Elephas maximus indicus: one gene and its partner. The protein of the gene in region 2 purifies or fractionates together with the protein of the main gene of each other region. This does not show direct contact. Links are inferred from orthologs where the notes say so. Each region holds a gene or a part of one and is shown on either strand. Other genes may lie near its edges.

The links.
Region 1: the proteins of STAU1 (region 2) and ELAVL1 purify together in Homo sapiens (affinity purification with mass spectrometry; 3 studies listed by BioGRID, with this or other methods). This does not show direct contact. The link is inferred for Elephas maximus indicus from reciprocal best matches to the Homo sapiens genes STAU1 and ELAVL1.

Annotation. Positions count from the first base shown.
Region 1 is NC_064821.1:12,746,750-12,750,493, forward strand, and holds the start of ELAVL1 (ELAV-like protein 1), read right to left. Parts: upstream 2,284-3,744; 5' UTR 2,153-2,283; intron 1-2,152. UniProt on the Homo sapiens protein: RNA-binding protein that binds to the 3'-UTR region of mRNAs and increases their stability.
Region 2 is NC_064843.1:20,399,092-20,402,835, reverse strand, and holds the start of STAU1 (double-stranded RNA-binding protein Staufen homolog 1), read right to left. Parts: upstream 2,796-3,744; 5' UTR 2,545-2,795; intron 1-2,544. UniProt on the Homo sapiens protein: Binds double-stranded RNA (regardless of the sequence) and tubulin.

The sequences.
Region 1 (3,744 bases), on a different chromosome or scaffold from region 2:
TTGCACACAATTGATGCTCAATGACAACTAAACGCAATTCCTGGAAACCCTGCCTCTAGGGCTCTCATGAACCCTTGTGAATACAGGTAGTCCCGGACTTATGACGTATTAGAGTTACGACAAACTGCACTTACCATCAACAAACTGCACTTACCATTGTCTGTCGTTCTGCTTTTTTTTGCACATATTATTAATGTGTACTACATACAACGTTGCAGCACATAATTTGCTGTTGTTATTCTCAGGTGCACACTTGCAGACATTCAATATTATGATTTACAAGGATACTGATAATAAAAGGCAATAATGATGAAAACTTTTAAAAAAATGAAATATTCGACATACATCGGAACTGACTTACGACAGAGTTGTCAGAACATAACCCCTGTCATAAGTTGGGGACTACCTATACAAGAGCAATGAAACCCTGTGGTTAAGAGTAAGAACTTTTGAGTCAGGGGCCCGAGTTCAAATACTGGTTTGGCCATTTTACTGAGTGAGATTAGTCATATCAAGTGACTCAACTAAGCCTAGGTGCTTTCATTTGTAAAATGGAAATTATAACAGTACCTACCTCACAGGCTGGAGATAAATGTCCACGGAGTCTTAAGCACACAGTACATTCTCAATAAATATCAGCAATTATTTAGAACGTCATTTATTCAGTACCTACCATGCACAGGCCAGGCACAATGCTAGGGGCTTCTCAAACTGTTTTCTCAAATTTGCACAAGAATATTCTTGTCCTTCCCATTTTACAGACAGGGAAACCAAGGCTCTCACAGTTCAGCTTATCCAAGCTCTTGGGAGCCTTGAACACCAGGGCATAAGAGTGAAGGATGGGGTTTGAGGGACTCAGTGGAAGATCATCTAGTCCAGTGGTTCTCATCCTGGGGTGGTTTTGCCCCCATGGGGATTTGGCTATGTCTCGAGGCATTTCTGAGCCTCATAACTGAAAAAGAAGGGAAGGATGTTATTGGCATCTAGTGGGTAGAGGAGACCTGGTGGCACAGTGGTTAAGCACTGGGCTGCTAACCAAAAGGTCGGCGGTTCGAACCCACCAGCCACTCCACCGGAGGAAGATGTGGCAGTCTGCGTCTGTAAAGAATTACAGCCTTGAAAACCCTGTGGGGCAGCTCTACCCTGTCCTATAGGGTCGCTATAAGTCAAAACTGACTCGACGGCAATGGGTTTTTTTTTTGGTGGTTAGTGGGTAGAGGCCAAGAATGCTGCTAAGCATCCTATAATGCACAGGACAGTGTCCCACAAGCAAGAATTATCTGGCCCAAAACGTCAATAGTGCCCTGGTTAAGAAACCCTTCTCTAGTCCCATCATCCTCCCCAGCTTCCCACTTCTTGTAGCATAAGCCATCGGCTCCCACTAGAATACTTTCAGTCAGGGCGACTCTTCCTCCAGGGGCAGTGCAGAAGTTCTTCCTCACCTGTCCTGCACACAGTAGGTACCAGAACCCATTTTAATAAGCCTAGTAGCAGAGGGTACCGGAAAAGGAAGCCAGAGCATCCATGCCCCATTGTTCAAATGCGTGCAGTTTGTGTTTTCAACACACATTTTACAAACCCGAACATCCCACGCCCCATAAACAGCTTTGTTAGAGATGGCGCTCAAAAAATACATTTTCCTGGGACTCCCGTACACACCGAAAGGTTTGCACACTTCAAAAAAGACCCCAGATCGGTCGCTGGCCTCTGACAACGACCACAAAAGAATCTGGAGGATTTCCCGGGGGAGCGAGCTCGGAGGCCGCGGGCGACCTCAGTGCGCAGACCGCGCTCACCCAACTCCCCCGCCTCTGGCTTCACTCTCCCGCCCCCGGATCCCGGGCTCCCAAGGCTGCCGGGCCCCAGGCCCAGCGCTCGGCCCCGGCCGCGGAGCCTGGCCGCCAGGCGCGTGCCCACGCCGTGTACCCCCTCGCCCGCCCCTCGCGGCGGCCGAGGAATCCGGCCCGGGCTCTGTCGCCAGCGCCCACACCGGCCGCCCCCCGCACACCCGCGTCCCGCGCGCGTTCCTTCCCGGCCCGGCGCGGCCTGGGCCTCGGCCGGTGCAGGCCCGCGGACGCCCGGGGCCCGGCCAGGCGAGCTCAGGCCTGCCGCGGCCTACCTCGCGGGGCACCGCGGAAGGCCCCCGCCTCACCTGGGCGCGGGCGGGCAGGCCCGGGGCTTCTCCGGGGCGGGCGGGCGGCGGCGGCGCGGCGCTAACGGCTCCGCTCGGCCTCGGTAGCGGCGGCAGCGGCGGCGGCGACGGCGACGAGGCGGCGGCTCCTCCTCAGCGCGCACGACCCGCTCCGGCCCGCGGCGCGGACACGCCCCCCCGGCGCGTGCACCCATTGGTCAGCTCCAGTCACGGCGCGCTTCCCATTGGCCGGCGCAGCTGTCGCGGCCTCCCAGGCGCGCGGGGAGGCGGAACTTCCGGTCGGCGCCGCCTGCGGAGGGCTCGGCGGCCGGCGGAGACGGGGGCAGTGGAGATGGCCGCGGAGGGGTGAGCTGAGGGTCCAGCCCCGCGAAGACCGGGGCTGGCAGAGAGTGGTGGTGGGTCGAGGAGCGGCGCTCCTTGTCGGGCGTCCATCGTGTGTCCCGCTCCTGTTTACCCCGCTTCCCTGCAAGGTAGGAACGGTCATCGCACCAAAGGGAAAGGGACAGGTCCCGGGTTCGAATCCTGACGCCGCGTTTTCGCGCTACGTGCCGTTGGGCAAGGGCTGACGTCATCTCACCTGGCCTCAGTTTCCTTAGCTGGTGGGGCGAGGAGGCGGGGCCCAGGATGTTGTTAGAGTTCCAGCAGTGTGGGCTGTGAGAGCTAACGGGTTCCCAGAGGCTCCGGCTAACATTCATTCTTTAAGATTTTATTGAGTGCCTAGTATAAGCCAGTCACTGTATGAACTCTCATTAGGCTGACATTCTAGACGATTGCGTCTAGTAGAAATATAAAGGAGCCACAAATGCCAGCCGTTTGTGTAATTTAAATTTTCTAGTAGTAACGGTGGCTCAGTGGTTAATCGCTCGGCTGCTAACTGAAAGGTCAGTGGTTGGAACCCATCAGTTGCACCGTGGAAGAAAGATACGGAAATCTGGTTCCGTAAAGATTTACAGTCTTGGAAATCCTATGGGGCAGTTCTGCTCTGTACTGTAGGGTTGCTGTGAGTTGGAATTGGCTAGAGGGCAGTGGGTTTGGCTTTTGTTTTTCTTATTGGTTTAGTAACCATGTCTGAAAAAGAAAAAGAAACATAGTAATTTTAATAATGTGTTTTCTTTAACCCATTGTGTTGAAAATATTGTTATTTTGATATGTAATCAACATAAGAAATTATGAGGTCTTTTTTTTTCCCACGTTTTCAAAATTTAGTGTGTATTTACATTCACAACACAGCTCAAGTCGGACTGACAACATCTCAAGGGCTCAGCCGCCACATCTTGCTGGTGGCTACCTTTTCGGACCACACAGTGCCAGATGAAGAAACAGAAAAGAAACAAAGAGGGGAAAAGTGGTAAGATAAAAAGTAAATCGGGAAGGGAAATGGGGAATGTCAAGGTTGCAATTTAAAAGAGGGTGGTTGGGAAGGCCTCAGTATGAGAAGATGGCATTTGCAGGAAGACCTGAAAGAGCTGAGGACACTGAACAGATAACTACACTCTTCATTGTTTAGTGCAACACTGTCCAGTAAAGGCTTCTGCGATAATGAGTAGGTCCTATACCTCTGCTGTCCAGTTCTGTAGCCATTTGGTTTTTGG
Region 2 (3,744 bases):
TATTTACACAACTACTATAAAGAAACTTTAAAGGTTTTCATTATAAATAATTAACTTTAACTTGGATGCAAAGTTAATTCTCCATAAAAAGTGGTTTAACAGGTAGGTCCCCAGCAGATAGGATTAGGAAAATCTGTTATTTCTGACTGCTTTTCAATTACAGTCATTAATAGAAAAATTATTGTTTTCATATGCAAAGAAACAAACCAATATTTTGGACGTGAGTTTGATGGGGAGAAACACTGAATTAAGCACTAATCAAGCTGCTGCTCTTTTTTCTGCTCTATAGTAACACTATAAAAAAAATTTTATTTTTTTTATAGTAACACTGTCTAAACAGAGATGAGAATCCTAACAAAACAAGAAGTATGACTCTGCTAAAAGTAAATTTTGTGACAGACTGGGGCAATCTGGTAAAAGTGGAAATCGTTAATGTTGTGATAGGATGTTTGGGATTTGTTTCAAAATAATCGTTTGGGGGAGGGGTACAATATGAAACAAGGCTGGCCTTGGCTATGAGGTAACAATTGTCAAAGATGAGCGACCAATACACAGGGGTTTTCTACAGTATAGTATTTGGCGTCTGTATGTTTTCCATGATAAAAAGTTAAAAAAAACTTTACATTATTTACTGCAATATTAAAACACCATTTCCCCAGCGTTACTATTAGCGATGTGGGAGTAGAACACAGGCTTTGTGTTGTTTAGTTGTTTGCTCAGGTGTTTTTAAAAAGCCATCGAAGCCAAGATTTTAAACTAGAAACCCTGGTAAGGCCTTGAGTCAGAAAATTCTAAGAAAATGTCAAGAAGAGGGAGGCCACTTTGGATCATGCGTGTTATTATTGAGAACCAAAAAAAAAAAAGGCCCGTTGCCATCAAGTCGATTCCAACTCACTGTGACCCTACAGGACAGAGCAAAACTGCCCCATAGGGTTTCCAAGGAAAGCCTGGTGGACTCAAACTGCCGACCTTTTGGTTAGCAGCTGAACTCTTAACCACTATGCCAGGAGTGCAAACACACTCCTGACTCCTTTGTAAATCTAAACTTCCATGAGTTGCATTACCTTACTGATGGGTATACCTATACAACTAAGTACATAATTACAAAAACTCGGCATGCTTCAATGAAGTCACTGTTCTGAAAATCCCACCTGTCACCAGGGTGATTGAAAAGGCTCCCTCTAGGATCCAATTGTATTTTTAGTGTTAACTTCAACAAGTAGCAATGTCATTTACATTTGGTAAGCACTTTTGATTCCTGAAAGACCCAAATCATCTGAAAACCCAGTTTAACTCACTCCTTCTCCCACCCTCTAAACAATTAAAGCTAAAGGCAGAAGGGAAGAGTGACCTTAAAAACATCCCCACAGCCAGAGAAGGGCAGAACAGACTGAAGCACACATCTTTGCTGGAACAGAAGAAAACTTCCATACAAGCAATACTGCAACACGGAGGTGGGCAAGGGCTTAAAATGAAAGTCAGCCAACGGGAACGGAGGGAATAAAAGCAAAGCTGCAGTGACAAAAAGTTAGAAGTTCGAGATGTAGAGCAAGAAAGGGACAGACAGACATGTTTGTTCATATTTGTACACCATCTTCCCCCTCCAGAACCCGACCCCACAGCAGGTGCTGCAGAAAGGTTTGCTTCTGCCAGCAAGTTTCCCAGAAGTGAGATGACAACAAGAAGCCGGATGATGGCAGAAGAAGCGGACAGGTTGCTCTCAGTGGTGAAAATCCTGCAGTTGGCCACACGGATGAGATGGAAATAACAGCAGCTATCTTTTACAGGCTACCTACTGCAGAGTGTCCCAATTAAACGTAAGCCCCTTTGGGTTAACAACCCAAAACAATGTCCTGGCGCTGGCAGTGGGCACGCTGAGACATTTCCGCTTCCAAGGATCCCAACACGGGTAGGTAGGTCAGTTTCTGCGCCCTCTATCCATTTAATTAAACACCTTACTGATCGCGCGCTGGGTTTTGTGATCGCGCTAATAAATAATGTTGACGCTTTGAGACACTCTGGTAAGTGCTTTACACGCCCCGTTTCACTGAACCTTGAGAACCTTAAGGGGCAGGGGCGGTATCAGCCCCTTCTGCCAGCTGAAGTGACTGGCCCAAGGGGGCAGAGCGGGGTCAGCCCCCGAGTCGCACACCTGGGCCGCCCCTGCGCCGGCTGTGCCACCGGCCGGGCCGGCCGTGCGCGTGGACCTCGGGGCCCGGAGCCGAGACTCGCCCCTCCCCCGCCCCGGGAACAACTCCGGCATCCAGCGCGCGGCCAGGAATGAGGAAAGGCGGTCGGGGCACCTGTTTCTGGCCCCAGCTAGGGGCCGAGAGGGCCGGGCGCCCGGGGGCCAGGCCGCCCGGCGGCGCGAGGCGGGGGCGCAGAACGACCCGCCTCCTAGGAGAAGGCCCGGCCGGCGGGAGCGAGGCCCGGGAGAGGAGGCCGGCGCGCGGCGCCGCCGAGGCCTAGGCCCCACCCGCCGCCCGCCTCCCCGCGGCTGCGGCGCCCGCGCGAGCGCCTTCGGGCCAGGCCCGGCCGCCTCACCTGGCTGTTGCCCTGAGCGCGTCCCCCGGCCGGCGGTCCTGGGCGGCGGCGGCGAAGAGGGGAAGGAGGAAGGAAGAAGGGACAGGAGGAAGGGACGGAGGGAGGGAAGAGGCGGAGTGGCCGTGGAGGGGCGGGCGCCGCCGGGCCGGGGGTCAGGGACCAGGGGAGCCGAGTGAGACGCGGCGGCGACTGCCGGCGCAAACGCTGAGGAGCCGCTGGAGCGCCCGCAGCCTGGCAGGAAGTGACGGGGGAGGGGCCGGCGCCCGCCCCCGGCCCCCGCCCGCCTCCAAGCCCGGCCCCACCCCCACCCGCGCTTGGACCACAAGTTCCGGCGGGCGCTGCGGCGGCGCCGGCGCTCGCAAGGCACGCCGGGAGCCCGAAGGGCTGGGTCCTGCTCTCTGCCCGGGGCGGCCGCGACCCGCCCTGGGCCCCGGGGCATGCTGGGAGTTGTAGTTCTTGCAGGCGCCGGCTGAGTCCGAGGTGGGGCTACTACCTGCTTCCTACTTTTTGCCTGTTTTTCCTTCTTTTAGTCCCTCAGTACCTGCATTCTTCCTTCTGTAAATGTTTACTAAACGGCTACTATGTGTAAGGTACTGCTGCCAGACCTAAGAATAAGTAATGAACAGACAAAAATTCCCGCCCTCGTGGAGCTTACCGTCTACCAAACAAACAAACCTGTTGGGTTTCAGTCCATTCCCACTCATAGTGACCCTATAGGGCAAAGTAGAGCTGCCCATAGAGTTTCCAAAGAGCAGCTGGTGGATTTGAACTGCTGACCTTTTGGTTAGCAGCCAGGCTCTTAACCATTAGCCCCTCTACCCCTTGCCTTGATTCTATTCTGAGTACTGCTCCCTTCTAGTGGGGATAAAACTGAATTAAAAATAAATAAATAAATAAGTTATATGTGACAGACTGACTTGATTTGTAAACGTTCACTTAAAGCTCAATAAAAATTATTAAAAAAAAAAAAAGTAATTTATATCCAAAAAAAACCCCCCCCAAAAAAACTATTGCCATTGAGTTGATTCCAACTCATAGCAACCCTATAGGACAGAGTAGAACTGCCCCATAGGGTTTCAAAGGAGTAGCCGGTGGATTTGAACTGCTGACCTTTTGGTCAGGAGCCAAGCTCTTAACCATTGTGTCACCAGGGCTCCAGTAAATTTATATAATTATATTCATATAGAGTGTAAAAAATAA